Linked DNA regions of Nothobranchius furzeri. The protein of the gene in region 1 purifies or fractionates together with the protein of each later gene. This does not show direct contact. Links are inferred from orthologs where the notes say so. Each region holds a gene or a part of one and is shown in the gene's direction. Other genes may lie near its edges.

Region 1 (4,381 bases):
ACAATATTTACTTTGGTTTTTTTAACCCAACCTGTGGAAAAGTGAAACCGTTAAAAGTCAAGCCATGGTCCTGGTCTCCGTACCAGCTTTCCTCCTGCAAACAGAGCCATCTTTGTGGAGTTGGAGTGCAAACAGATCTGATGCTCTCCAGGAGTGTGAGAGGTGAAGGTGAAGCGTCCGTCAGAGCCGTACTGACGAGAGAGGATGATCTGGAACGTGGAGGAGACACCTTCAGACTTACACCTCTGCTCTGAACCTCCAGACCTTCCTGTCTGGCTTTACCTTCGTGTCTGGATCCTTGATCTCTACATGCATGCCAAGGCCGGGGGTGGATGGGAGGAAGGAAGTGGTTTGTTTGTCCCACAGCTGAGTCCGGTACTTTCCTGTCACACACACACACACACACACACACACACACACACACACACACACACACACACACACACACACACACACACACACACACACACACACACGATCATCCACAAATTGGATGCCAGTAATAAACCAGCTTAACATCTGCTGTCCTGTGTTAGGACGGAATATTGGACACATGGATGTAATAATAGTATTTATCTCATAAAATCATCCCAGCAATGAATGAAATATTTAATAAACATTCACATTTATACCCCATCTCCTCTTTGCATTTAAAAGATTGTGTATTCATTTTGATATTTGACAGATCTTTTGTTTAGGTTTGATGGAAATACCTTCGTAAACAGGAAAATGTTTATTTTATTGATAATAAACAACAAGCTAAAGATCAATGGCCAAAAGTTGAATGTTTCCCTTAAATGATCTGAATTTTCAGATATTTAAACGTTATTTCTCCTCAGTGGTGAACAACCCGCAGCTGAAGCCTCCAGAATTTCCTGTCTGACTCGAGTCTCTAATAATAATAATAATAATAATAATAATAAACAACTATTGGTGTCATCTGCTGCATCTTTAAACAACCAGCTGTTAGCAAGACGGCTAGTTAGCTGCGTTAAGCTAACCGGCTCACCGATCACCATCGTCTCGTCTGGAATTTCTTCAATGAAGCATTTTTTCTCCGTCTCTCCGATGTGGAAATAAAGCGCGCCGCTGGGGTAAATCCAGGCCACCAGAAGAGAAACCGCTGCGGCAGAGATGGGGAGCATCTTCACCTCCTTCACGTTAGCGGACATCAAAATGCTGCAGCGCACTGACGTCATCTTCCACTACGGAACAAGGAAGGGGCTTTCCTGAGAACGGAGTGTTTACACCCTGGGTTAATACTGACAGGAGAGTTTTCCTCTGCAGCGCTTAAAGATACGATGTGCCACTGGTATTATTTAAATTCACAGCCATTTCGATTTGATCACACACTTGTAATTTGTCAACTTTTTTATTGTTCATTTGTGTTAATTAAACGTCTTAAAATAAACGACACGTTTTTCGATGTTCGAGTCACGGGTGTTCTGCCTACAAGGCTAAACTGAGGGTGATATATCACGATTTTTCCACGCTAATAACAGTCGAAAAGCTGACAGCTTACCTTTGGTTTGCCTCTGATTTACCTCTGGTAGTCTTAAACTCACGAAGGAAAGGATTCAAAACTGGACACATGCTTTAGGAAGGCCACATGATCCGTTGATGTAGGTCCGTGTTTATGTGAAACCAAAGGCGTCCGTTTGCCCAGCCGTTGTTGTGCTATATTAGCTTACTGAGCTAATTAGCTGTATCTCAGCTGTTTGAGTCAGATTGCTCTTTTAAACTCGGTGAAGGGAGTAGTTTGTGAGTCTGAGACTGGATAATTGTTGTTTACGACATAAAATTTAAAAAGGTAAGACAAGTTTTGTGTCTGTTAGCTGTGTGTTAGCTATGTTGTCTAAACAGTATTTAACGTGAGCTTTGCTGAGGTTATCGTGATGTTCTTCATAGCAGACACCTGATCTTACTTTTATGACAATGACAAGGCTGAGGTCCCATAAGAAGAGGTTGATGACCACCTGTTCTCAGGTGTAACTGTTCAGAAGGGCTTCTGGCACCTCGCCAATGAGCCGTGACACAAACCGGTCATATTAAACACAGTTAATTCACATTTAAACTGAAAGTGAAAGTTTCACGTTTCCAGATCCCCAACGGGGCTGAAACGTGTCCAGTCCCCCTAGACGTCATGCTCAGGTCTTACTTACACCTGAAATGTTCACTTGTTCCATGGTGGCTTTTAGGATCGTTTTTCATTTTATTTTTCTTTTAATCACATATTTATGTACTTCTTATTTTAAAATCAAACAGCACAGCCACGATTTGAGCCTGCTGTCTCTCAAATAATAACAATTTTAATTGAACAAGGACAATATTCATACAAGGGAAAAATATACATGCAGGAGATCCTTGTGACTTCCTGTTTTTTCATCTTTATGAGCCATTTGGTATGTTATAGTAATGTGAATTTAACAATAAGAACATGGTGATAACTAGAATTAGAACCATTTGTATTTCTGATATTTTTGTGCATTTGAAAGCGATCGGCTGTAGACTCAGATAATTGCTTGATTGTTCTTTTTTCTAATTTACTTCTGACTTCAATGTGTAGATTATTGGAAACCATATTTATAAGTAAGGAAGTAGTTAGCGAACCAGGGGAAACTTTTTTCTTACTAGAGCTACAGAAGCAGCAAAAGTTGCTGTTTTGTCTGTTGTTGCATTAGATGACAATCGGAGCGACCACAATAACATAAAAAAAGGAATAGAATAGACTTTATTAATCCCACAGTGGTGAGATTCACTCACTACAGGTGTGACGTCATAAAGCAGTAAAGAAGTGACTGAACTCTGCAGTTTCTGGGATGATTTTCTGTTGGTGGTGAAACAAACTGTTCCTGCCTCTGCTGGTTTGAACTGACCTGCAGTGTTGATGGTAACAGGTTTTTTAGTCTTTCTTACCAACGTACACAATATGTTTTAATTTGACTAACAAAAAAGTTTCTCCAATGCCCGTTTAAATAAATGCCACGAAGGCTGGATTTTAGACGTTATTAAAAAATGAGCTAAAAGTGTAACAAGTCTCCAAAGGAAACCAGGAAACAGGTTCAGGAACCGCCAGAGTCTGAGTTCTTCATATGAAGAAGTGAATGGATTAGATCTCTGTAATTCCCAGCCTTTGCTTCTGCAGGAATGGTGCAGCCGCAGCCTGATGGTCCGATGCAGTGGGACATGTCAGGAGAGGACTGCGGGGGGGTCCTCAGGGTCCCACCAGAGTTCGCTGGTAATGAAGTGGTGACCAGATTGTTGTGTGACAACCAGCAGCTTCGAGGTACCTAAAAACACACGACGGTCACGCTTGTGTGTATTACCAGATGCTCAGCGGGGCTTTTAGGTTTCCGTGTGTCTGATTTAGCATTTTCAGAAGTCGTTTAAGTTTAGAGTTATCGAGGTAAAAGAACAAAGTAAATTCAAACAGTAATTTCAGCCTTTACTGTAACGGTGATTGGATGCAGGAGCGGTGTCCACGACAGGCTGAGTTTATCAGGATCAACACATGCTGCTTTTATGCAGTTCCAGACTTTCCTAGATGACAATCCAATCCTTGAGTTTTTCAGTCTGCTTCTTGTTGTCGGCACAGCTCTGAATCTGCTCTTCTAGCTGTCCGTAGCAACATTTCTTTAGCTGCTGATGCTAAATCGGCAGCGGTTTTGGTTCTACTAGCCCTCTCAGCAGCCTCGACACAATCAACCACCCACTTCCTATCAGAATAGTATGTTGGCATTTGAGGTAGGAGTCAGTGAATCCTGCCTTGCTCAGCTTCAGAGGGTTCTGAGTGCTGCAGCTCGCCTTTTAAGTGGCAATCAAAGGTTTTCCCTCATTTTAGCCTCCCTGCACTGGCTGCTTGTTCATTTTAGGATTGATTTTAAAATGATTTTATTTGCTTTTAAGGGCTTAAATGGCCCGGCCCCTCCCTATCTGTCTGAGCTACTGCATCGCTACACGCCCGCTCGTTCGCTCAGGTCAGCTGATCACAGGAGTAGCTACTCCTCAACACGGATCAGTCACCCACACATTCACACACTGGTGGTGATGAGCTACGATGTAGCCACAGCTGCCCTGGGGCGCACTGACAGAGGTGAGGCTGCCGAGCACAGGCGCCACCGGTTCCTCCGACCACCACCAGCAGGCAAGGGGGGTTTAGTGTCTTGCCCAAGGACACAACAGCAGCATTCTCTGGTCAGAGTCGGGATCAAGATGGTGAGATTTCATCCATCATGACGTGTCAGAAAGACAGTCTGAGATGTGTGTGGAAATTGTGGGCTCATCCGGCGGGAATGACGGATAGAGCTGGGTGTCGTCAGCATAGTAGTGGTAGGAGAAGCCATGTGATTGAATGATCTCACCCAGTGAGGTGGTGTATATG
Region 2 (4,434 bases), on another chromosome or scaffold:
ACATACATACCTGCTGTAGGTGGAGAATAGGCCAAAATAAGCATTGCTTCTGCCTATTCCTTTTTTGGTTGTAATTCATGACGTTATCGTGATGTATCTTAGTTGTTTGAAGATCTTCTCTGTAAACATGACAACCAAAATAAAGGATCGATCAATCAATAGCCTGGTGCTGCCCAGGATAGAGAATTGCTTTGGATTGATCCAATCAGCTGGTTTCTATTATAGAAGCAACTTTGACTGATTGGAGATGTAAAACCTTATGGACCTGATTCTGGTGCAAGGTGTTAACTGGTTTAAATAAATATTTGTCTCAATGTCTGTAATTCATTCAGTTACCTGGTTTAAAAGTGGATTCATTTGGCTATTAATCAGTCTCACTGGAAGAACCTCACTCTAGCTCCAGGATGCTGAGAGCACTGATGCATTCTGGGATTGTTTAACTTTGTTTTAAGAACAAAAAGAAATCCAAGCATGCATGTTTATCATTGGACCAAAGCAATAAAAACAAATGATTACAATTAAATAATTGAAATTAAATGTTAAATTAATTTTACCTTAAGGTTGTTGAAACCTGATTATGTAATCAGAGCTCTTTATACAATGTAGTCAGAAAATATTTAGCTAATTCTTCCATTAAAAATCTTTGATTCTATAAATTGTTTTTAGTCAAGCTGACAAAACTGAATAACAGTTTCAAATGCAGTGACTTTCACTACATTGACCTTTAAAGGCTTTAAATGAGAGGTTTGGGTGGTTTTCAGCTTCATCTTGTGATTCTGAGTCAGCAAGTCATATGACTCATGCTGCTGCTGATTGGCTGCAGCGGCTGGGTGACATCACAGATGCAAACAAACATTTGATCAAAACAGAAGCTCATGAGACATTTGAAAAGAGTGATGCAAGGATGACTCAGGTGTTTGAGGAATACTGAGAGTTTGACTTATGTTTTACATTTCATATCCCATCTAATTGTTTACAACTGGACAGCAGAAAATCAGCTTGAATCTGGACTGATTAGAGCAGGATTTGCAGATTGCTTTCGTTTTAGCTGTAGATTAATTCTGTAAAAGTGTGTATGGGTTCTTGACTCTGTTGTAGTAATTACGGACTGGGGTTATCTTCAGCAGATAATTAACAGAAAAAGCATGTCGGGGTTGAAACCAAAGCTCAGTTAAAACACACACAAACATGCATGTTTATGTTTCTCTGCTGGATTTCTAGACCTGCAGTTGCGTTCTCAGCTGGATCCACTCATTTAGGATTTTCATATTTTTTTATTAATAAACTACAAATCAATCACTTTTCTAACAAATAAAACAATGTGCCACGTCACAATGACTAAGCGGCTTTCCCAACTAACACCTGCTCACGTGACTAGTTGGAAAGTCCCTCACCGTGCTGTGTAAAAAGATGTTTCTAGACGGCAATGGTCCCTCATTAGCGGAGCTCAATGAGGACCAATGGGAGGCTGTGTGCGTCTTTACGTCATCTTAAGACGATGACATAGAATGCGGAAGTAAACATAAAAGAGGCTGAAATTTACCGCTGCGTCACAAAGTTCTAGAGTTTGGTTCTCCGTTTGGTTGTTTTTCTGTCTCTGTTCGGAGTTTGGTTCGATTGAGTTCGTAATGTCGGTGACGGTGAAAGCCTACTTGCTGGGAAAGGACGAGCAGGTGAAGGAGATCCGCAGGTTTGCGGTGGACCAGGACGTCTCTTGCAGCTTCGAGTACCTGAGCAGGAAGGTGGCGGCAGCTTTCTCCAACCTGAGCAACTTCAACCTATTCTACAAGGGTGAGGCGCTTATATCAGAGCTGGTTCTGTTTCAACCCAAACACTGACTGGATTTCTGCTGCGTGTCTTTCTGGTTCTGGATTGTTTTTAATATTCTGATGAATGATGTTTGGTGCCACCTGATCTGTGCTTGGACTTGATGTTTGAGTTATGGTGTTTTAGATGAAGATGGAGACCTGGTGGCCTTCTCCTCTGATGATGAGCTGATGATGGGACTGGGTTTTGTCAAGGACGCCACCTTTCGCCTCTTCATTAAAGGTAAACAAGTCGTCTTCCTGTTATTTCTTTGTAAGGTTCCATCTGACTAAAGTTTTGTTGAACTCTTGCAGAAAAGAAGGAGCACCGCCGGGACTTCCCTCTTCATGCATTCCCCCCTTTCGCTTTCGGGCTCCCTCATCAACATGGACCTCCTCATGCCCCACCTCCTCACCCGGGCCCGCCCCCTGCCGTCCATCCCAACGTCACCTGTGACGGCTGTGAGGGCCCTGTGGTCGGAACGCGCTTCAAGTGTTCAGTGTGTCCAGACTACGACCTTTGCTCCACCTGCCAGGCTCGAGGGACCCACACTGAGCACCCTCTGCTGCCCGTGTGGCACCCTCTACAGGTGAGTAACCTGGATGACAGGTGTCAGAGCTCAGGTCACCACTGGCAGGTGTCAGAACAAGTCACATTTCCTGATTAAAATGTGATAAATCGGTGGTTTTCTTAAAATTTTATTTAGCAGTGGTTTCCTCGAGGAAAATGGATGAAAAAGATGAAACACTGCACGTGGAACCAGCACATGGCCCAGGCACAGACCCAAAACCAGGACCAGAACCAGAAGCAGGAGCAAACCATTCCCTCCAGCTCAGCATCTGACTGCAGCACCTCCTCTGGTAGGTGATGTGAACAGATCTGTGTTTATGTACAAACTGGTCATCAGTCAAAAGGAGTCCAACTCAGAGCCATTGTCCAATAACAGAGACTGACCTCTGACCTCTGTAGCTTCTCAGGTCAGCGTGAACTATTTGAAGAACATTGGCGAGGGCGTGGCTGCCATGCTGAGCCCACTAGGTGAGTTGTTTTACCTGGAGATGTTTTTAATGTGCAATAAACAAGAGGGAACTCATCCTAATACGCACACGAGTGTCATTCAGACATTTAAAGTCATTTTAAAGTGCTGTTCTGTCAATTTAGATTCCAAACTACTGTTTCTAGGAATAGGAAGTCCTCTGACCAGAGCATTACTTTTGGCTAGCTGGATCTGTGACATTAGAAGCTAATTTCCAGGATTAGCCAGAAGAAAAACCTCAATGTCCTGCTTTTCCTAATTGGCTGCTCCACTTGGGCAGAGTGAAAACCCAATGGCACACAGGCAGTAGCAGTAGCATAGTATTTCAAACGTTATTAGAATAAAACAAACAGCATAAACTAAAGAAACAATCTCATGTAAAATTGTAGGGCTTTAAAAACTGCTAATATAGCGTGCTAACGCGTCACTATGGGTTGTTTTTAAACACCAGAAACGATGTATTATTTCATTACCAAGCTGACTAGTTAGCCTCTGTTCAGAGGAGCACTTTGTTTCACCTTCGGTGATGTCACCTGCAGGCAGTGTCTGTACTGTAGATATATGACCTATTGACCATCCCTTCAGAAAGATCAGAATATCACATTTAACCGTTTCTATTAAACTTCCTGACAACAGAATCCTGATGAAGTAGGGACTTTATCTGTGCATGTGCAGGTATTGATGTGGACATCGACGTGGAGCATGAGGGGCAAAGGATGAAGGTGACTTCACCTACTCAAGGTGAGGAAGAGCAGGGTGAAGTGCAGATGGATGTGGGAGCTGGCGAAAGTGGAGCCAGCAATGAAGGTGGAGCAAAGCAGGGGCCAAAGGTCAGTCTTCCTCAGACAAAAACTAATAGATCAGTCTAATTAATGACAATTACTGACCAAATACACAAATCTGCAGGTGGGCCGAGATGAAGATGATGAGTGGACTCATCTCAGCTCTAAAGAGGTTGATCCATCTACAGGTGAGCTTCAGTCGCTGGAGGGCCAGGGCTCAGGCCCAAGTCCAAGTCCAGGTCCAGGTCCAGCTCCTCTGTCAGGGACCGAGGAGGGACCCACAGGTCTGCGGGAGGCAGCTCTTTATCCACACCTGCCTCAAGGTGAGTTCAGATTCTGCGGTTCAAGTTTTTTTTTTTTTTTGGTAGTCCTGTCCCTATTAAGCCCCTCCCCTTTGTCCCCCACAGAGGCTGACCCCCGCCTGGTGGAGTCGCTGGCGTCAATGCTCTCGATGGGTTTTACAGATGAAGGCGGCTGGTTGACTCGGCTCCTTCAGGCTAAAAACTTCGAGATTGGAGCTGCACTCGATGCCATCCAGTACGCCAAGCAGTCCCACCCACGCCAGTGACATCATTTGACTACTTTCTGTTTTTAGTCTGACAATTACCTGTCCACACCTAATAACTAATCACTTTTCTGTGTTTACCTTTTATTAAACTTTTGATTTGTTTCTAATCAATAAACGCATTTTAAAAACATGACTCTGAAATGTCTACGAATCGACTCATAACAATCCTAAACGAGCAGCTCAGATGTAAACGGCACAAAACACATTTAAAACTTAAGGAAGTCATCATCACAGCTGAAGTC
Region 3 (3,924 bases), on another chromosome or scaffold:
AGGTTTCACCTTGTAGAGCAGCTCAAAACACCATCTGTGGCTGTAAGGTCGGCTATTACAAAAACCACATTGACAGTGAAACGGTTGAGTGCCTCAAGTGTTCGAGATGCAAACCAGATGAAACGGAGGAGCATGCATGTGAGTCTTTAAAGATTCTTCTGTAATAAATTAAACAACCACTCCGTGGTAAAGCCAGTTTTGTTTTCACAGGTACTCGAGAGAGAGACACCGTGTGTGGCTGTAAGGAAAACTTCTACAGAGTCAGAAACAAGTGTGAACCTTGCAGGAAGTGAGTGCATCGCTGTCCGACGAGTCCTTGGTTCTCGTTTTGTTTCCATCTTCGAGTTTGGGAAGGTTTTTTTGTAACATTTTAATTAAGGAAGTTGGTTTGTAGAAATGAAACTTGCAGCTCACTTCCGACTTTGTTCAAGCTTTCCATTTGTTAGCAATACAGGAGAGAAGTTATGACACACACGTCTTGAGACTCGCTAAAAAAAACCTTTCTTATTCGCGTCTACTAAAAGTCTGTTAGCGTATAATGACCTCTCTTATCTTCTCCTAAAATGCTGCGTTGAGTGTTTTTATTTTTGGTTCTTATAGTCGAAGATGTTTGACACAAATCAAACAAGGAAGCACAAAAACTTGCAGCTCAAACTTCCTATATTTCTGTCATGTTTACATCCTGGTTTGCATAAACATAAGAATCTTTCTGAGTTACTGGGACAGTGACTGGTTCAGCTCAACTTTCTGTGTAGTCGAACTTTGAAACCAGAGCTACAGAAAGCTGGAGTTAAAAAAAATACATGTCAGCCTTTGCGTTAATCACTTCCTCTGAAGACATGCTACTTCCTCCTTGGTGCAATGAAACATCCTGTTTATCCTCCACAGTTGTACCACAGGCTGCTCACAACACTGCATGTTGGAAGTGGCGACAGAAGGTGAGCGCCAACCAGGTGACATGACGCACTTGTTTCTTCTCTTGCCATATTTCCGTGTTCACCGTTTGAGTTTTCCATTATTCTTTCAAGACCAAGTTCACTCGGTTTTGAACCACATTTGCAGTGGTCTCTAGAATAAATGAATGCCTTGTGCGTCGAAATCTGTGGGGAAAAAAAAAAGCTCTAGCGCTCCTGTTTCAGAACTGGAAGTTAGCCAGAGCGGAGGTGAGCAGAACACGGCAGGATTTGGAGTCTTATTTCCTGATATTCAGACATCTCCCCTCTGATTGGATAACCGTAATGGGACTCTACCACTGACTCTGTTCTGCAACGCTGATGTTTTATCTCCACAAATAACACAAGCCTCAAGGAGTTCTGCTGGGTGGTGGAGTTGCTAATGCTAAAGGTTAGCTTCTGCTAGTTGAGACATTCTCTACTGTTTCCTGGATGTTAAAACCACAAAACCCTTTCCGTCACGAGTCAAGATGGGTGAGTCCATGAATGTCAAGTGACAGTGTGACATAGATCAGTCAGGATTTTCAAATTCTAGCAATTCACCATCAGAAGCTAATGCAGGAGATAGGTGTAGGAGCCTATCAGCGTGCACGGTAAACTCACAGTGACTGATTATATTTCATTTTTTACAAGTTGAAAACGGCTACACGGTGGTGCACTGGTTAGCATTGATGCCTTGCATCGGGTCAGAAAAAGCCACACAGATCTATCACCCAATAATTTTTATTTTTCAACTTTATTTTCATTTATTGACAATAAAAGAAAAATACAAAACTAAATTGCTAACAGCCAAAATGAAAAAGGGGACAGAAAGAAGAAAAACATATGTTACCTGCCACTTTAAACTAAAATAACATTAATACAAATGAAACTATCATATGATTCTTAAAAAATTTGAACAATATCGTTTCTGGACTGGTTGGCCGACACAACCTCAACCCATGAATTGAAAAAAAAAAAGAGAAAACAAGTTACACAGAAAGAAGCATAAAGTTATATACCTATATACATACATATATACACATATGCATACATACACTTGTTTCCTTTTCCCTCTATTTATTTTTTTTCTTTCATCCCCCCCCCCCAACCCCCCTCCCCTCACGCGTTTATGTAACAGGTCTATATAAGTTAATAATTTCATTTTTTTATCTCTTTTTTGAAAGTCAATATTGTTTTTGCATTCTTGATTTCAGTATTTAATTTATTCCACATTTAACTCCATATATGGGCACACAATGTTCCTTTATGAGTATCCTATGTCTAGGTATATTAAATAATTCATGTCCTTTTAAATGATATTTGCTATGTCTTTTTGTAAATCTGTTGATTAAACCTGCAGGTGTGTACCCTGTGTTTGCATTATACATACATTTTCAAATATTGTAGTCCACCAGATCACAGAATTTTAGTGTTTTTAATTTTATAAATAATGGATTGGACGGATCTCTGTAGTTGCATTAATCGGCTCACCCATCTTGGCTCGTGACGCGGAAGGCAGATTATTTTTTTTTTTGCAGCCATGAAAAAGCAGAGCACATCTCAACTAGTAGAAGCTAACTGATAGCATTAGCTTTTCCCCAGCATGGCAAAACTCCTTCAGGCTTGTTTATTTGTAAAACATCAGAGCAAATGGAGGCAGTGAAAGACTCTCTTTGCTGTTAGCCAATCAGAGGCGAGACGTCTGAATATTGTGAATATTAATGAGGAAGGCTCCAAATCCTGCCGTTTTCTGCCCCTCTCTACTTCCTGAAACAGTTGCGCCAGAGCTTTTGTTCCACAGAGAATGATTGACAAGGCGTTTATTTATACTAAGGTCCACTGCACACTTATTGCAATAATGGGTGAATGAGACATTCAAGAGAGCAAAACACTTAACACTAACCTATGAATCACTGAGACAGTCTCCTGAACCTGATGATGATTCATCGTTGTGTCAACACAAATCAGCTCGGCACAGATCCTGTTTTAAATTGTACGTTTAAGCTCTTTGTTACTTTAGTCTTGTGAAAATGAGGGAACATGTTTCCAATTCTTTAGCTGAGTGCATGGCAAAAACCTGAGGCGACACATAAAATAATATCTTAGCATTGTCAAGCTAGTTTTCTAAGAGATATTGGCTGAAAACCTGAAAATCTGCTTGAGGATTATGAATTTTCAGGTCCTGTTTTTGGAACTTTGCTGGATTTTTTTATTCTTTTTCCCTCCGATAGATTTATTCTTTAGACCTGACACTTCTTCTTTTGCCCTCCGCTCGTGCAATTCCCTTATGTTATAAGCATAGACCACAAAATAAACCGTCACGGTCAGGAACAAAACACGATTCAACGTTTAGAAAGCCTGAAGACTGGCCAAGAACATTTTAAAGGATCACATTCAGGTTTGGTTATTGGTGCTTTAAAACTTTTGCAGTGTGTTTGTAATGTTCTGTTTTATAATATGCATTTATTTTGTTTTTCCATCCAGGCCCTGAGCCCAAAAATCACCTGCTAATAAATCTAGTTGCTGGATCAGTAGTTGTGGTGCTAGTCTTGCTGGCGTTGGTGGTTCTGGTCACCTTCTTGGCTACAAAACGGTTCACCAAGAAGAAGATGCCGACTCTGTCCTCCCAGACTTCTGAAGTTTCCGTGGAATCCGGAAAGGTATCTTCACCCAACAGTCTGAGGTTCTCTTGATCGGTCTGATGAACGCTTGCGGTCAGTCATGTGTTTTCTACTCTCGTCTCCAAGCATCTCCTGATCTACGCTGAGGGACCTCCGCAGAGCATCTGTTTGAAAGCAGCCGCTCAAAACCCAGTGGGTGAGCTGGAGCTGTCCAAGCTGCCTGACTGCGTCCCCCTAGAGATTAAGAGTGAGTTGATAGCAGTCTGCTCTGACTTCGACATGCAGAAACCCACAATGTGAACTCTGACCGTGCTCTCCTCTTCTGCAGTCCCAGAGCTGATCTACGCAGTGCTAGATCTGGTTCCCGT
Region 4 (3,924 bases), on another chromosome or scaffold:
TAAAAACCAGTAGCTCAGAGAGGTCATCTGGAGCAAGGCCGTAAAGATTTAAAAGCCCATAAAAGCACCTTGTACTGGATTCAAAAACAAGCAGGTAGCCAGTGCAGTGAGGCCAGGACAGGAGTAACGTGCACCGTCATTTTCGTCCCATCGATAAGCCGTGCAGCAGCATCCTGCACCAACTGAAGACGCCAGAGGTGGGATTGTGAAACACCAAACTCTCAGTGTGTTCACATGCGCGTCAGAAAACTGAACTTTTGCCCTAAGTAGACTGACGTTGTTGATTTTTAAACTCATGTAAACTTGTAAGTCTCGTTGAACGTGAACTGGTTCTAGTCGTCCTGAAGCACCCAGATAATGTAGTGGGAGCCCAACTTCATCTGTGTGTAAGCGCCTCCATCGAGCTGATGACGGTAACTTTCAGACTTGACGAGACGCAGAAGAGGTCTTCTGATATCATCGCCACAAAGTCGCACGTGTAACAGCATCACAGATCAGCTGTGCCGCAGCGTTGTTGTCCATTCGGCCATTGTTCATATCCTGTTTTAACTCTGTCTGCTTCACTCCCACCAGCGTTTGTTTGCTATTTGTGTTGCTATAAGTTAACCGGAAGAACGCCTACACAATAGGGCGCATGTCGCCTCCAACTGTACCGGAACGGTACTAACGTCTTTACGGGGGTTGGTTTTCTAACGTACAGGTAAACTAGGAGAAAGGCTCCCAGTTTATTTTAGATCCATTCAGATGTGCGTGTAAACACGCTGAGTGGTACATCAGAGGGGTTTCCAGCAGGAACGGCCTGTTTAAGGTCAAAGGTCAGACGTTCTCTTTCAGGATGCTCTGCCAGAGCATGGTTCCAGCAGGTCCTTTGTGTTCTTCCTCACTTGACTCATGACCTCTGACCTTAACATTAGCCAAGTGACACCTGTAGGTAGGATGGGCCCAACATCTATAAATCGTGATATAATTTAAAGCACGTGCGGTAACACGACGTATTCTTTTCATTAGTTTATTTGTCCAAATAACCTTTCTGAACAATCTCTCACACCAGATGAGCGGCACCAGAACAAGTGCTGATGAAAAGGACAGAATGCCACTTAAAAACCGTTTAACGTGACAAAACGTCTCAAATGACTTTTATGTTCTTAAGGTTCTTTTTTCAAACTTTTCATCACAAATATTCTCATGACGTGAATAAAGATGAAGATATTTTAATGAAAAATGTAAAAACACAAATAAAATTTCTTTCTGATTAATTTAATAATTTTCAGGTTTTCTTTTGCTCATAGAAGTTTAGTGTTAGTCGTTAATAACTGCAGCTAAAACGATGCTTTGCAGCAGTTCTTTTTTGTTTGTAAAAGAGAACCCAAACCAGGTCCGTATAACCAACATAACTCCATCTTCCCAACGAGCACGCCTTCCTCCGTGCGCTGTGGCAAGCTGACACAGCATGATGATATTTACGCGCCGTCACTGTCGGACGGTAGAGTCAGCAGCTCTGCCCGCGGTTATTGTATCATATCGACCGGGTACACCATGCATCACTAGCTCTAAGGTGTTGTTGTTTTTGGTAGGCAGACATTCAGGTCCGTGAGCTCGCCCATGGAGGGTGTTTCATCGGTCTCTCACTCATTCACATCATGACTTTCATCAGAGTCAGAATGTTCCTGTTGGCTCGGTGCCGCTGGGAGGAGCCCTGCTGTTGTATCAGCAGTGAAAGTGTCACACTCATTTCATGCTTTTTCTTTGCAGCTGAGACAGCTTTCTCGTGTGAACCACCCAAACATCGTGAAGTTGTACGGCTCCTGTAAAAACCCGGTAAGAAGGGTGAAATGTTTTTGTTAGTTTCATAAAGTTTCAGAGGTTTATTCCTGGTTCTCTTCCACATTTAGGTCTGTCTTGTGATGGAATACGCAGAAGGAGGATCCTTGTACAATGGTGAGTCCAGATTCAGAACCAGAGAGCGGTTGTGTGTTCTAGGTGACCATGAGCACAGCCTGTCACACACATGAAGGCTGCCCCTAGCTGGTTAACATCTCTCTGCATCACCAGCAGTCCTTCTACCGATGTCTCACTCTCCTCTGATATACTGGTGCTACAGATGGAATATGGCTGCAGCTAGCATGCTGCTGCTCCGTCTCTCTCGTGTCTCTGCCTGTCGGAGGTCATCACATTCAATTCAATTCAAGTTTATTTATAAAGCGCCAAATCACGACAAGTCGTTTCAAGGGCCTTCACATAGTAAACATCCCAGTACAGGTCAGGTCATTAAGCCAATCAGTAACAAGTTTCCTATATAAGGAACCCAGCAGGTCGCATCGAGTCACTGACTAGTGTCAGAGTCTTTACAGCAATCCTCATACTAAGCAAGCATGCAGCGACAGTGGAGAGGAAAACTCCCTTTTAACAGGAAGAAACCTCCAGAGGATCCTGGCTCAGTATAAGCAGCCATCCTCCATCCATGTATGATGGAGCTTGATTATTAAGAGCTTTATATGTGAGAAGAAGGGTCTTAAAATCTATTCTGAATTTAACAGCTAGCCAATGTAGGGAAGCTAAGACAGGAGAGATATGATCTCTCTTTTTAATCCTCATCAGAACTCTAGCTGCAGCATTTTGGACAAGCTGAAGACTTTTAACTACATTCTGTGGACTTCCTGAGAGTAATGGATTACAGTAATCCAGTCTTGATGTAATAAATGCATGAACTAGTTTTTCAGCATCACTCCTGGAAAGGTTGCATCTAATCTAGGGCTGCAGCTATCGAATATTTTTGTAATCGAGTACTGTATCGAATCTTTTATCGATTAATCGAGTGCTCTAATACATGACCCTTTTGTGTTTGTAAACCAAAACTTCAGTACTTCAACTTTACTTCACAGTAAACAAATGCGAGCGGCTGCGGCCCAAACAGCACCAGAACCGCTCACGGCGCATGTGCAAACATGGCTCGCCAGCTGTTTCCCTATTAACACACGTCCGTTTTTATTTCTACACTTTTTTGTCTCACACTAACACGGATTGTCGAGAAAGCATGTTTGCCGTGGTTATGTCAAGTTATACTGATCACACAACATTTATTTACTTTCTTTTGTTTTCCTCTCATAAATACCCGTGTCCTCCTGCAGCGATCCCGAGGGACAACAGACGTCAATAACAACACAATAAAAAGTCTGACCTGTTTTGTAAAAAACGCTATTTTTAGCACATTTTTAGGTCCGACGTGTTGCTACCAGACGTACGGTGTGAGCTGAAACTGAGTGCTACAAATGAAAAAGTCGCACAGTGTCTGTAGAATATATAGCGGAACGTTTATGTTTACCCACACTGATGAGCTAAAAACCAAAGTGCACGTTATTTTATGAACTCTTACACTGCGGTCAGGTTAGCTGTGGCTGTAAATCACACGTTTCACTCTGGAACATTTGGAGTCAGGTCCAGCAGCTATTTTTCTGCTGGAGTCGGCGTGGAATGAGAAGTTGACCGCTGTGTAAAGGTTTATAAAGTACTGTTGTGTAAAATACTGTTTCAAAGCGGCTCCACGGAGAGACTCGGAGCAGCAGCAGAGCTTTGGAGTTGTGGGCCGTCCCTGGTGGTGCTGTAGAGACCTGCTGGGCCATGTTTGGTTTCCAGTCTTCCCGTTGTTTTGTGCTGCTGGTTTGTGTGTGATCGTGTTCTCTCGTCCACAGTGCTGCATGGTGCTGAACCCCTCCCCTATTACACTGCTTCCCATGCCATGAGCTGGTGCTTACAGTGTTCCCGGGGGGTGTCCTATCTCCATGGCATGAAACCAAAGGCTCTCATTCACAGGGACCTCAAGCCACCCAAGTATGCTCGTCTTCCTCACACCCACACTCCTACCACCCATTTCACAGCCAGCAGACTGATGTATTCCTCACAAGCGCTGCACTTACACTTCTCAGG
Region 5 (3,924 bases), on another chromosome or scaffold:
AGCTAATAAGCGACGGCGTGTTGAAATGAGCTGGGCCGTCCTCAGAGACCACCTGCAGCCTCAGCACAGTGACTTTGATGTCATACCGTGGTATGAAAACACCATGGAAACGAAACTAAAACCACTTCTTGCACAGTAGCGGACAGGACTATTTGATGTGATTAATCTGCGTTCATTTCCTCCAGGCTGCAGATCACAGCGGTGCTCTCCTCCAAGTACCCGTCCACGCTTCCCAGTCGGGAGCTGGTCCCGTTGCTGTCGGGGCTGTATCAGCTGCTGGCGGAGCAGCGGAGAGGGGAGAGGGGTCTGTACGTGCTGCGCTGCCTGAAGGAGGTGGCTCACTGTCAGACTCGACACCCACAGACGGCGCAGGCCCACGGGGCCGAGCTGGCCAGGCTCTGGGTCCGGATCTGGGCTCTGGCGTTGCGCGGGGTCAGCTCGCCCCAGACCGAGGCCCTCAGCCTAGACCTGCTGGCCTCCATTGTTCACTGCGGGCTGATCGACATTGACAGAGAGTTCTGGAGACTCTTCTGTGCATCTGCGTGTAAACCGTCCCAGTGAGTCCTGATTAAAACCCTAATAGCCGACGTTTGGTTGCATCACTAATTTCTTTTGCTGCTTTGTGTTTTATTTTGGAGGAGTTCTGCTCTCTGCCTAGCACAGGCTGTCCTGAGGTGTCCAATCCCAAATCGTCTCTCATCAGGCTCAAGCTGGGACAGCGTGGGAGGCGCTGATGGGTGCGTGAAGGAGACGCTCATAGCCTGGTTGCTGATGAGCGACCAGAACGAGGAGACTGAGGAGAGCTGCAGACCTCACCCCATCATCTGCAGGTTCTTACTCCTGATTCAGGATCTTCTTACTGAATGAGGTGAACTGACTTTTACAGTCACTGTTCTCGTTCACAGAGACTTTCCTCACAACCTGATATCGAACATCTTGGTCTCACTGACCCTCAAAGACTCCAGGTTAGGTTTAAAGTTTCTGCTGGGTTCTGACGGAGCTCAGAGGTAAATAAAAACACCCGTCTTGCTTCACCTCGCGTTGTCGTCTTCCCACCCAAAATAACCGTCTACTCGTTTAGCTCCTCCTCTAAAGAACGGGTGTCCTCTGGTGCCAAAGAGGACCTGGAGGTGATTGAGAGACTCTATCACCAGTTTAGCTTCAGCGTGTCGCCATCAGAGACCAGAGAAGCTGAGGACGAGTTGGGGAAGACGACGTCGGCCAAGAACCGGTTCGCCATTGTTCCTGGCCTCTGGAACCAGCTGGAGCAGCTTCTGCTCGCTGTAGCGGATGGTCTGCTTAACTGCTACTCTCCTGATGTGAGTGAACACTGCTAATCGTCGTCCTCACAGGAAAAAAAAACGATTCTTAATTTGAACCTCCCCTTGTAGTCCGAGTCCAGCCCCCCACAGTGTCTGGTGCGCTGCTGCAGCCAGCTGACGGGTGTTCTGGCTGGTTACGTCTCCACCGGGGTCCTGAGCAAGGAGGAGGCCTGCTGCTCACAACTCTTCTCCAAAGCAAAGGTTCACCCACCAGAAGTCATCAGTCACAGGTGATCCGCCATATCCAGAGGAGGCTCGTGTGACCGCTGATATTCTGGGGTGTTCGTGTTTCCAGGCCTTGGCCCAGGACCTCAGCGGATTTGTCTCCAGCATCAAAGTGAAGATGAGCGAGGAGAGGATCATGTCCACAATGAGATCGGTTATGAAGCTTTGCAGACAGAATAGCAGCAGGAAACTCAAGGTAAAAAAACCCGTTAAGATGAGTCGTGGTTTAACAGTTCAGCTGACTGAATACGTGGATCTCTGCTAACAGGACGGCGTCGGTTCCATCTCCTCCGGTTTGTTTATTTTGACCCTGCCCGCCAGCCTCCTGGGTGAGCTGGCAGAAATCTGCAAACTGCTGGTGAGTCTCATCTACACTGGCTTCACGATGCTGCGTGACGAATACAAAAACAACCTTTTTTTATTTTGCACATTTAAGTTGAGCAGCGCTCCGAGGAAAGTCAGCTCTGTCGATGACGACGAGCACATGGACGATGACTGGGAAACGAGCAGAGCCGAGCCCTCTGGGAGCGACTTTGACCTGTTTGATGATGGTGAGGACTCCCACAGCAGCACCAACGGGACCCACAGACCCCAGGGAGACGGCACCGACACCTCATGTGGCCCAGGTGACGGGAACACAGAAACACACCTGGTTCATTTGTTTCTAAAGCTTGTGTGGCCGATCACCTGCTGATTCCAAAAGCTGTGGAGAATCTCCTTAAACTACGTTTAAAACGTAAAGACCTTTTCCTGTGGGTTTTAACAGCATTTCACGAGTTTATTCCTCTCACTAATTGTGTTCTTTATTCTCTGGGGTTTATCCCTGTTTTCATTCATGCATTTGTTAGATTTACTGGTGAAGTTGTGCCGTGCAGCACTCTGGATGTGTTCAACATGCTTTCTGTTGCTTCCTGAACACACCAGGTGCTAAGAGCCTGCTAGCGGAGGAGTTTCTGGCCCAGCAGGACCTGGCTTTGCTCGCAGCCCTGGAGTTCCTGTGTGAGTGTGGTTCTGCTCGGCCCGTCCATGGCCTGCTGTTTAAACCGCAGGAGGTGCGCCGCAGGCTGCTGCTGCTGCTGGAGCAGATAGACTTCAGCAAAGCCCTGCACCTCCACATGGTGAGTAGCAACCAGCCTGGGGTTGAAGGTCACAGGTTAGCTGCAGGCGCTAACGTATCACCGTCCCGTAGTATCTCGTCCTGCTGAAGGAGCTTCCTGCTGAGGATTCGTTGTCTCCAGAGGAATTTGACTCACTGCTCCGTCCTCTGGCGTAAGGAGACGTTCCTGCTGTCCACGCTAGTGTCCTAGAATCGAAAAAGGATGTTTTTGATAGATAATTTGATGTATTTGTGGCTTTGCTTGCAGGGACATGTGTTCGATGTATCGTCAAGACCAGGAGGTGTGTGCTGCCATCCTGCTCGGTTTGTTACCTTCCATAAAGAGTCTGGGGAGGACACGTCACACGCCCGAGGACATGAGACACGTTCAGGGATCTGTTCTTCAAGTCGTCTCTGGCTTCTGGTCTGAGGATGTGTTTTTTTTATTTTACACCTTTTCAAAAATATAGTTTTACATATGAATAAAAAAATTAATATATATAAAAATATATAAATATTATAGATATTTAATATATGTATATATAAATATGTGTATGTATGTGTATATATATATATATTTATGTATATATTTATATATATGTGTGTGTGTGTGTGTGTGTGTATGTGTATATATATATATATATATATATGTATAAAAATATATATATTTTCATTTTATTGATATAATAATTATTTTATTTTTATGTTTTTACAAACTATGTAATTACTTATTTACTATTCCAATATTTAATTACAAATATTTAAGTTACTCCCCTGCGAGTGAGTGAGTGAGTATTTCTGAGCTCTTCCACTCGATAACTTTTTTTGTTTCAGCCTCCTGAGCCAGTCGGGGAAATGCGTGGCCCTGGTGAGAGCTGCTTTAGTCCAGTGTCTGGTTGCTTTGCTGGAGGTAAACTCACTTTACTTTGCTTCTAATTATTCCAGCATCACAGAAAAAAAACTCAAAACAAAAATCCTAAAAGACTAGAGAGACTGATTGAGGCCTACATGGTAAGATGAGTTCCTTCACGGCTTTGTCGTGCTCAGGCTGACCCGTGCTGCAGCTGGGCCATCCTGACTCTCGGAGACGACCCCGTGTCTTCTGCTCTTCCATCCCACCTGGCAGACGCCCACCACCGAGTCCGTATGCTGGTGGCCGTGTCGCTGGAGAGGTGGGTTCAGCCAGTTCTTTTTTATTGTTCTAGTTTTCTTACATTAACACTCGTGTACCCGTCCTCCTCTATATTCAGACTGTTTCTGGATATGAGACGGAAGGATAAG
Region 6 (4,600 bases), on another chromosome or scaffold:
TGATTTCGTTCCTTCCTTCTTCCCTCACCTGTGCTTTGCCACGCCCACAGGCTCGACTGTTTTTCTACTTTCTGAGCTGAGCACTAAACAGAAACTCTTCCAATAACGGTGGTTTAAATGCGTTTTTATTGCCATCTTTGTGTTGAAGGTATTGTTTATGTGAAAAAATGTTTCTGCACCATTTATTTAGTGCGTGTGGACTCCCAAACAAAAAACTGCTGTTATTTTGCTGTTTTGGACAAAAATGGAAACCTCTTCGCAAAGATTTAGATCAAACTGAAAACGGTTATAAAAGTTTTTGTTTTCGGTTAAACTAATGTCTAGAACACCAAATTTGGCAATTCATGCCACAACCCGGACGACACACGACCACGAGGTCAGCGCTCAAGCGAAGTGAATTTACCCGTTTCATCCGAAGCATTTCCGCCGAGGAAAATAGACTTTTCATAATAAAAGTATATGAAATAATAACAGATTGGAGATATTCGTGTGAAATTTGTTTTCTTCATTTTGTATACGAGAGTTTTAACAGCTGATATAGTCTACCTGTTGTATTAAACAAAATGTTCACTGCTGAAATAAACAACTAAATGAACAAGTAAATAAATAGGACCTATTGTCTAGTTGTGGAACCCTTCAGACAATGTCCATAGTCTGTTATTTTAACCTATTTAACATTAAAGCTACAAAAATTGTCCTGTATCACATTATTCGTTTAATTCTGATTTAATTAACAGCCAAAGGAGGCAGTTTGTTTCAAGGTCTCATTAAAAAATAAAATGCTTTATAGGCTACTTACAAAATTACAAACGTGTATGTTTATTAGTTATATTTATTTACTTTCATAGGAAGGGTTTATGTTGTAGGGGTGAAGCTTTTTATTTTTAACATTAAAAATTTTAATTTCAAATTATTTGACAGTTTATTGCAGATATCATTTCTTCAAAGAAATTTAATTTATTCTCTATTCTTTTCTTAAAGGGCATTTAGATCAGGATATTTTCTAAATGATGATTAAAAAATGTGAAAGATAGGATACAGGACCCATAATGTAAATAGAACTGGCCCCAAGATGGACCTTTGAGGAATTACACAAATGACAGGGACCTTTGCAAAGAATAAACCCACAATTAAATCAAAATGTTAAAGATGAGGCGGGCACTGCTGAAATGAATTTCACCTGAGTCAAGTACACAACTCTACAGACAAACTTAATGAAACTTATCAAAGCTCTGCTGGAGTTCGAATCACATTGACTGAAATAATAAAAGGCGAATTTTACTAAGCTGATACCACATAAGTCCCACTGTTGTAACAATTACTTTTATTCATTTATTTTTCATTGATAATTAAAAAAATTGTACAAAGTAAAACTAAATGCAACAAGTTTATATGAAACTCTTATGAAACATGTTTGTGAAAACATAAAAAAAACATATTTCTTCAGAGATAAAGACTGAAATGTTAAAGGTAAATAATAATTGCAATTTTTGTAATATGCCATTTTTTGGTAATTTTTTTAAATAAATTTGCCCAAAATATTACAACTTTACGACATTCCCAATGTTTTTATTGTGAAGGCACAAGCTAACCGTTAACGGAAGTATTTACCATCACTCCACGAGCCGTCGCTGCTACTCGTCGACCGCGCGCTGGTTTGGCTAGCTAGCGAAGAATATGGCAAGTCGAGCACCATGAAGTGCGGATGCATTACACGGATCACAGTTTTCAACTGAAAATACATCGATGGACCACTGACAATGACGTCAAAGTAGAGCACTGTTTGCAGTTATTACAAACCCGTAACACCTTCCCGGGGAAGTTTTCATCTGGTCAGCGGAGGGGAGAAAATCTCACCAGGAGCATGGCTTCTTACAGCAACCAGGTAGCTCGGCTAGCATTAGCCAGTAAAACAACTGAATGTGGAATTCATCTAACCGTTATTTAAAGCTTTACGATCACCTCTCTTTTGCAAAAACATGTTCACCAAATAATTATCATACCATATTCGTGTTATGCTAAGTTGTGTGTTTTCATTTACAACAGCGATTTGATCGTGTCATTGAAATTCGTAGTGCTGAAAAGTGCTTGCTAATGCCCCCCATCCACCCCCCCTCCTCCCAATGAAACACAACCAGCATGGTAACATTGCTAACAGGCCGTGCGATCCTCCATTCAAATGAGCCAGCAGTACTGCTTACTGCTATTTTTAAAAGCTACGAAAGCATTTTTTCATCTAATCGGTTCTACAGCCCGCATAATGAAACGACAGGGATTGCTTGGTACCAGATTCTACGATTGTCATGAATTATTTGTTAAGAGAGAAGTCACAGGAAAGGAAACTGCTGCGTGTTTGCACGGCCCACCTGCTCTGCTGACACGGGCCTTCTCGACTTTGTTTTCTTAAATCAATACTACTGAATACACGTCCAATATCAGGTGCAAGTTCCGATTCGCGGATATTTTTCCGCAAGCAAATGTAGGCGTATGCTAGCAGAAGTAAAGCCAAAGATGAGATGCATTTTCGAGCTTATTTAGCTGTTAGCAGGCTAGCAGTTTTGCACAGGTGGTGTGCATTGCTGTCATTTCGCTTGCTGGTTAGCTGAATACTGTGCGACAGCGTGGGCCTTAATTCGTATTTTGACATTTTATGCAAACGTAAGTAGACACACGATAAAATTAGCTATGGGCAATTCGCGTATGCAAACGCAAACTAGCTCTTCTCGCTGTGTGATAGAAGTTAGTCTGTAGGAAGCAGATTCGGGTTTTAATTCCGTGGAGGCTAACCTTCATGTGGGAAGGCCCGTTTTGAGGTGTGCATGCAGTAACTTGCAAGTAAGTCCGGGGTTTGTTGTGTTTGACTCAAAGTTAGTGTTTTATTTAAACGAAAGCACATCAATTAGGAACCCGTCATAAGCCGTTCGTTTGAATTAAATGTTCAACAAAACATGTATATTTATTACAGGAAGCGACGTATCACTGGAAATTATGTTTTCACACCTTTTCCTGCCCCAAACTGAGCATTTCTGTTGGCTGACTGTTCAGCAAAGCAGTGGTTTACGAGAACCAAAAAAATAAAAATAAAATAAATTAAATTCAGTTTCAGCCTTTTTTCCCCCTTTTATACAAAAGTACATTTACGTTGTGAAATGATCAGGTATCAGCCCTGAAATATTTGATTTCTCTTATCACAAGAGTATTTGTCAACTTTTAGGCATGGGGTAAATGGTCAATATTTACTGAGAAATATTGATTCCCCTCCATTTAAATTGAGCAAATTTCAACCATTATTAGATTTAAAAAATCCTGTTTAATTGTTGTTCACATTTAAATTCTTGAATGAAGCAGCTGCTGTTAAAGTGAACTGAATAACAAAATGTGTGCACACACTTATAGGTTACCAAATACAAACATCAGTCAAAGCAGGTCATACTTCTTCTATAGTGAAGAGATAAAGGTTAGGAAACAGGTCATGCTGGAAAATCTTGTCAGTTATACTTTTTACCCGTTTCTATTGATAATGGCAGATTTGGTTCTGCTTATTTTTTGCATGGTCATTCAAATCTAAAGGCTGAAAGACAGAAACAAGTTATGTTTGATTTATTTGATTTTCAGGCTTTCAGAATTAAACATTTTTTATGGTGAACAGGTAGTAATTATTGCATTTTGGGTTATTTCTACTTAAATACCACTTTTAATAGTTGTTGCACTGCTAAGAAATATAGTTGTATTGCTTATTTATATTAAAACAATTAAAAGTATATATCCTTCCTGTCTTCTAATGTGTATTTTAAAGTAATGACATGTCCCTGCAGGTGCATGCACACTTAGCAGTGTTCTACAGCTTCTCATGTTGACATAGGGATCTGTTTCTGTCAGAGTACACAAACTTTCCTCAGAATTTGTGTTTGATTCCCAGCGTGTAGATTTCATAAATATTAAAGGTTTGTCAACAGAAATATTGCAGAGAAGCAAATTGGTTTAGTCGTTTAATTATGTAGAAAATTTCTGAAGATTATTTAATACCATAATAGTTTCTCATAAATCACATGAATATGCCTGAAACAAATACATCTGCTGGCATCTTGGCATCTTTTATACCCGTGTGTATCTCAGAGTTTTCATGAAATGGTCAAGTGTGTTGTGTCATCGTGCAATAGCTGAAATTATACAGATGTCCAATTTGTTGTAATCTGTTGTATGCTCATAAAAAGATGCAAAGGGACATTCTTTCTGTTGTGACCGAGTTGTTCCGAGGCTGCTGGGATTAAAGCCGGCTGTTTGTCACTTGTTGTGCTGTTTCAGCAATGTGAGCCCTAATGGGGGGGCCTTGTTTGCAAAGAGTTACATATGCTTGAACTGCACTTTCTTTTCTCTGTGCCTTCCCTTTTCACAGCCGGCTATTTATTGCTCTGAAAGGATTAACAGCGCGGCCTGTGAGTTCATTAGGTGTGTTTCCACTACCGGGACTTCATGGTAATTTTACCGGAACTTGCGGGTGTACTAGGGCTGCACGATATTAGGAAAACCTGCGATATTCGATAACGGTGCTTAATATTGCGATATCGATATTACTTGCGATAAATGAACAAATACTAAA
Region 7 (3,689 bases), on another chromosome or scaffold:
TTTTAATCATTTTTATTCACCGATTTATTGTCCAGGAACTTTCACGACGACAGCGCTCCAAACAATGTCCTGAGAGTCACAGCCAACATCGTCTTTGGATATGCAACGTGAGTCTGAGACAATCCAGTTCCTTCTGCGATTTTAGATTTCAGAATCGTAACGTGACGCATTTGTCTGTTTTGTTTAGGTGCCAAGATGCTGAGGCCTTTGAGCTGAGCTCCACGGGTTTCACCAACGGTGTGTTTGTCAAGTTTTTAAAGAAGCGGCTGATGGAGGATGAGAAGATCACTGTGCTGCTGGACAGAGTTGCTGAAGGTGAAGTATTATTAGTACTTTACTGTACTGCAACAGTCCCATTCCTCCTTATAAAAGGATACTGACAGCGACAGCAAAAGGGAGACTGAGGATGGTTTGTTTCTGAGTGGGAAGATGGAGGTGGCAGGCTATTGTACCTGTATGTATTTATTTATTTATTTATTTATTTTTAACCAGCCATGTCACAGGCACATGTTGGAAAAACCCATTTACTCTACGTATTTGTGCACGTTACCTGGACATATAAAAGTGGACACCTGTGGCTTGTAGACGAGTGTGGCCCAGATTATTTACAACTTTTTATCCATTTGAAAAGTAAGCAGGTTGCGGCTTTTATTCAGGTGCTTATTAATAATATCAATTCACGGTTTTCTCGTCTCCAGATATGGGCCAGTTTGATGCCACCAAGGGTAAACAGGCTCTGGAGATCCGCAGCAGTCTGGCAGAGCGGAGAGCGCTGACCGATCCTATTCTGCCCGGCGACAGCGCCGATCTCGCTCACAGCCGGCTGTGGGCCAAAGCTCACGGTACGCCCACTAGCAAACACACAGCATGACATAAAACATGCTAATCTTCAGTTCTCAGCGTCCGGAGGTTGAACACGTCTCGCTCAGCCAGATGTTGGCAGTTATCGATCTTTACAGGAAAGACACACGGCCATGGGAGTTTCCTTCAACAGCTCAACTGTTGCATGAAGCTTGTTAGATTAACATCATATTCTTAGAAATAGTTGCCTAAACAAATCTGTAAACCATGACTCAGCTACTCTTGGGTTTCAGCCAACCAGTCGCACAAAACTAAAGATACCGTATTTGCAGCTTTTCAGGAGTCTGAGGAGATAAACGTGTCAGTGATTCATATTAAAAACTAAATCTAAGTTTTTAGTGTTGAATTCACTCAACAGCCTAAATCTAAATTATTCCTTCAAAAGCGTATTTTTTTATTTTTGTGAAAGCAATTTTTCTCAAAACTATTGAGATTTTCTCCTTCCTGTGTTAGGTATTTTATTTATTTTTAAACATCTTTATTCGGTTTATATCATGTATTAAGTTGAAGATTTAAAAATGTATTAATTCCATTTCAAAGTAACTTTAAAATTAAATGTTGACATTTAAAACTTTAAATGTTGCTTTTTTGCAGTAAAGTCATTTTTCTGAAGGAAAAACTCGTCTCCTTTATTGAAACTCGGCTTGATATGTGGCTGTATTAGCTCCACTAAAAGAATACAGTTTGACTTGAACTATAATGATGTTTATGCGTTTTTATTTCCCAATAAAAAGTAGCCTTTGGAATCCCGGAAAATGAAAACTTGAAGTTTTCTTGTTAATTTTTTGGGGGAAACGAGTTTAAAAATCGATTTATTTGCGTGGCTTCTTGGTAGATTCTCAGATTTGATATTTTACGTGGTTTTGGTTTTTAGTATTAATTATGGATAATTTTCATTACAAATAAATAAAATATTTTCTTTAAACATGATTTGTTTTTAGCAACTAAAACCTGGTTCCCAAAGTGTTTGCTTGTTGTTCCAGAACTTCCTGAGACGATGAGTCTTCATTTTGACTGCGGGGCTCAGATCAAGCTGGGCTTCGCTGCGGAGTTCTCCAACGTTCTCGTCATTTACACTCACATCATTAAGAAGCCAGAGGACATGTCTTTCTGCCAGGCTCATGTCACGGACTTCTCACTGGTGATGTCGCACATTTTCATCTGACAGTTGTGATTTCTTGGTTTTTGTAAACGTTAAAGATCGATTAGGTTTTGAGGTTGAAAAGTGTCCCTGCTTGTTTTCAGGATCTAGATGTGGATCCTAAAGAGATGAACAGAGAGACTCCAGAGGAGACGGGGATCTACCTGCTGTCCAGCAGTCTGCCACAGCACTGTCTGTACACCAGACTCAGCTCGCTGCAGAAGCTCCGGGTACAAAGAACATAGACTGATCAATTGTGACACTAAGGCTTACTTATTAAAAACTACAACAGTATGCATTAGGGTTTGATATTCTGCAGTCTGATAAAGATGCTTATAGTTCATAACAGTTCTTTTTTCCACAACAACAACACCAGAAACCCATTTTTTAATCGTTTGTTACAATCCTCCTTTGCTCCAAGGTTCTCTTTTAGCTCTGGAAGCATCTGGGTTGTTTCTCTTACTGAAAACTATTTTCTCTCCTAATATAATGTAACAGGAGGAGCTGGTTTTCACCGTGTGCCTTCAGGGCACTTTTGCAGCCATGGATGACGATCATCCCGTATACTGGTCCAGAAGTGTCAACATAGGAAAGCCACTGATCGCTAGACTGGACCTCCACCGGGCCATGCGTCGGAACAGCTGCCTGCAGACCTGCCCGATGCCCCACAGCCCTTCCCAAAGCCCATGTCACAGCCCGGGGCCTGAACACCACCAGCATCTCCTTTACCACGGGTCACACCAGGGCCAGGCCTTGAACCGCCTCTCCCCACAGCACCACTTGGACATCTATGAGCATCCTCAGGGTGCTGTGGGGGGCTGTGCGTTTTCCCGCTATGACCACTTTAGCCAATATGGCTACGATGGAGCGTGTGAGCCCGAACTGAAACTCAGCATCCCAATAGAAGCGACTGAGGACATCACTGAGCTGCAGACTGTGTTCATCAAAAGCCTGCAGCTTCAGCCCCAGTGAAACATGAGCTTTAAACCTCTTAAATATTTGTAAAAATGCTGCTGCTCTTCACGTCACAGGATGGAAAAACATGTTGTACTCTCGATTTATTAAGCATTATTTGTCTTAAGCTGTTTGTTGAAGGTTTTTTTATCAATATATTTTTGGAGAGATTAATTTTAGTAAAATAAAACTGCTGTTGTAATTTTTTCTCAGCTTCCATTTTACTTGGGATAAAGTATGGTACATTAAGTTTAAAACTGCTGGACATGGATTTTTAAAAAATGTAGATTTATTGCAAAAAAATGCCACGAAATTATGTATAAAGAGTTTGGCGACATCTAGTGGCCATTTAACAGATTACATCCAACTTTGTATCTCAGGAAGTGCAGGATGGGACAAAGCATAAATCTGTTTTATATGAATTACTCTGATGTACAAATCTGAAAATTCCATTTGTAATCAAATAAGTAAATTATTTTTATTGCACCTTTCACGGAGAAAACACACAAAATGCTTCACTGAACAAAAGCTACACGATATGAAATATCACAATTTATGAGAAAGCAAAATTAATTCTTTTGTCATTTATGCTACAAAGATAACCGTTTTCACCCAGACTCAGACTTTCTGGGGTTTAAATTACAGCTCATGTGGAAAATAGTTGGTCTAATTTCAAAGATTCCAGTTGGCACCATTCATTCAAACTCACCAATCTGTACTTCAAGGGTTGTTT

The links.
Region 2: the proteins of ikbkg (region 1) and sqstm1 purify together in Homo sapiens (affinity purification with western blotting; 3 studies listed by BioGRID and IntAct, with this or other methods). This does not show direct contact. The link is inferred for Nothobranchius furzeri from reciprocal best matches to the Homo sapiens genes IKBKG and SQSTM1.
Region 3: the proteins of ikbkg (region 1) and tnfrsf1a purify together in Homo sapiens (affinity purification with western blotting; 4 studies listed by BioGRID, with this or other methods). This does not show direct contact. The link is inferred for Nothobranchius furzeri from reciprocal best matches to the Homo sapiens genes IKBKG and TNFRSF1A.
Region 4: the proteins of ikbkg (region 1) and map3k7 purify together in Homo sapiens (affinity purification with western blotting; 8 studies listed by BioGRID and IntAct, with this or other methods). This does not show direct contact. The link is inferred for Nothobranchius furzeri from reciprocal best matches to the Homo sapiens genes IKBKG and MAP3K7.
Region 5: the proteins of ikbkg (region 1) and atm purify together in Homo sapiens (affinity purification with western blotting; 7 studies listed by BioGRID and IntAct, with this or other methods). This does not show direct contact. The link is inferred for Nothobranchius furzeri from reciprocal best matches to the Homo sapiens genes IKBKG and ATM.
Region 6: the proteins of ikbkg (region 1) and usp10 purify together in Homo sapiens (affinity purification with western blotting; 3 studies listed by BioGRID and IntAct, with this or other methods). This does not show direct contact. The link is inferred for Nothobranchius furzeri from reciprocal best matches to the Homo sapiens genes IKBKG and USP10.
Region 7: the proteins of ikbkg (region 1) and malt1 purify together in Homo sapiens (affinity purification with western blotting; 4 studies listed by BioGRID and IntAct, with this or other methods). This does not show direct contact. The link is inferred for Nothobranchius furzeri from reciprocal best matches to the Homo sapiens genes IKBKG and MALT1.

The regions. Positions count from the first base shown.
Region 1 is NC_091755.1:44,541,989-44,546,369, forward strand, and holds the start of ikbkg (NF-kappa-B essential modulator), read left to right. Parts: upstream 1-1,287; 5' UTR 1,288-1,312; intron 1,313-1,485; exon of another isoform or gene 1,486-1,810; intron 1,811-3,145; 5' UTR 3,146-3,147; coding exon 3,148-3,286; intron 3,287-4,381. Other genes in the region: tmed4 (transmembrane emp24 domain-containing protein 4), read right to left, coding at 84-209, 283-383, 1,010-1,199. UniProt on the Homo sapiens protein: Regulatory subunit of the IKK core complex which phosphorylates inhibitors of NF-kappa-B thus leading to the dissociation of the inhibitor/NF-kappa-B complex and ultimately the degradation of the inhibitor.
Region 2 is NC_091741.1:64,353,337-64,357,770, forward strand, and holds sqstm1 (sequestosome-1), read left to right. Parts: upstream 1-1,397; 5' UTR 1,398-1,628; coding exon 1,629-1,791; intron 1,792-1,953; coding exon 1,954-2,049; intron 2,050-2,120; coding exon 2,121-2,395; intron 2,396-2,512; coding exon 2,513-2,666; intron 2,667-2,775; coding exon 2,776-2,844; intron 2,845-3,517; coding exon 3,518-3,672; intron 3,673-3,748; coding exon 3,749-3,947; intron 3,948-4,031; coding exon 4,032-4,192; 3' UTR 4,193-4,325; downstream 4,326-4,434. Other genes in the region: mrnip (MRN complex-interacting protein), read right to left, coding at 4,399-4,434. UniProt on the Homo sapiens protein: Molecular adapter required for selective macroautophagy (aggrephagy) by acting as a bridge between polyubiquitinated proteins and autophagosomes.
Region 3 is NC_091745.1:73,838,470-73,842,393, forward strand, and holds part of tnfrsf1a (tumor necrosis factor receptor superfamily member 1A), read left to right. Parts: coding exon 1-138; intron 139-210; coding exon 211-289; intron 290-888; coding exon 889-953; intron 954-3,419; coding exon 3,420-3,595; intron 3,596-3,682; coding exon 3,683-3,803; intron 3,804-3,884; coding exon 3,885-3,924.
Region 4 is NC_091743.1:91,287,123-91,291,046, forward strand, and holds part of map3k7 (mitogen-activated protein kinase kinase kinase 7), read left to right. Parts: intron 1-1,752; coding exon 1,753-1,818; intron 1,819-1,892; coding exon 1,893-1,938; intron 1,939-3,689; coding exon 3,690-3,828; intron 3,829-3,924. UniProt on the Homo sapiens protein: Serine/threonine kinase which acts as an essential component of the MAP kinase signal transduction pathway. Plays an important role in the cascades of cellular responses evoked by changes in the environment.
Region 5 is NC_091753.1:29,149,061-29,152,984, reverse strand, and holds part of atm (serine-protein kinase ATM), read left to right. Parts: coding exon 1-90; intron 91-185; coding exon 186-557; intron 558-638; coding exon 639-830; intron 831-905; coding exon 906-1,007; intron 1,008-1,081; coding exon 1,082-1,319; intron 1,320-1,391; coding exon 1,392-1,523; intron 1,524-1,617; coding exon 1,618-1,743; intron 1,744-1,815; coding exon 1,816-1,905; intron 1,906-1,983; coding exon 1,984-2,173; intron 2,174-2,471; coding exon 2,472-2,665; intron 2,666-2,736; coding exon 2,737-2,816; intron 2,817-2,911; coding exon 2,912-3,067; intron 3,068-3,477; coding exon 3,478-3,553; intron 3,554-3,690; coding exon 3,691-3,815; intron 3,816-3,893; coding exon 3,894-3,924.
Region 6 is NC_091749.1:59,302,815-59,307,414, reverse strand, and holds the start of usp10 (ubiquitin carboxyl-terminal hydrolase 10), read left to right. Parts: upstream 1-1,605; 5' UTR 1,606-1,705; coding exon 1,706-1,885; intron 1,886-2,366; exon of another isoform or gene 2,367-2,499; intron 2,500-4,600. UniProt on the Homo sapiens protein: Hydrolase that can remove conjugated ubiquitin from target proteins such as p53/TP53, RPS2/us5, RPS3/us3, RPS10/eS10, BECN1, SNX3 and CFTR.
Region 7 is NC_091757.1:57,789,979-57,793,667, reverse strand, and holds the end of malt1 (mucosa-associated lymphoid tissue lymphoma translocation protein 1), read left to right. Parts: intron 1-35; coding exon 36-107; intron 108-187; coding exon 188-315; intron 316-698; coding exon 699-842; intron 843-1,844; coding exon 1,845-2,002; intron 2,003-2,106; coding exon 2,107-2,232; intron 2,233-2,500; coding exon 2,501-2,974; 3' UTR 2,975-3,163; downstream 3,164-3,689. UniProt on the Homo sapiens protein: Protease that enhances BCL10-induced activation: acts via formation of CBM complexes that channel adaptive and innate immune signaling downstream of CARD domain-containing proteins (CARD9, CARD11 and CARD14) to activate NF-kappa-B and MAP kinase p38 pathways which stimulate expression of genes encoding pro-inflammatory cytokines and chemokines.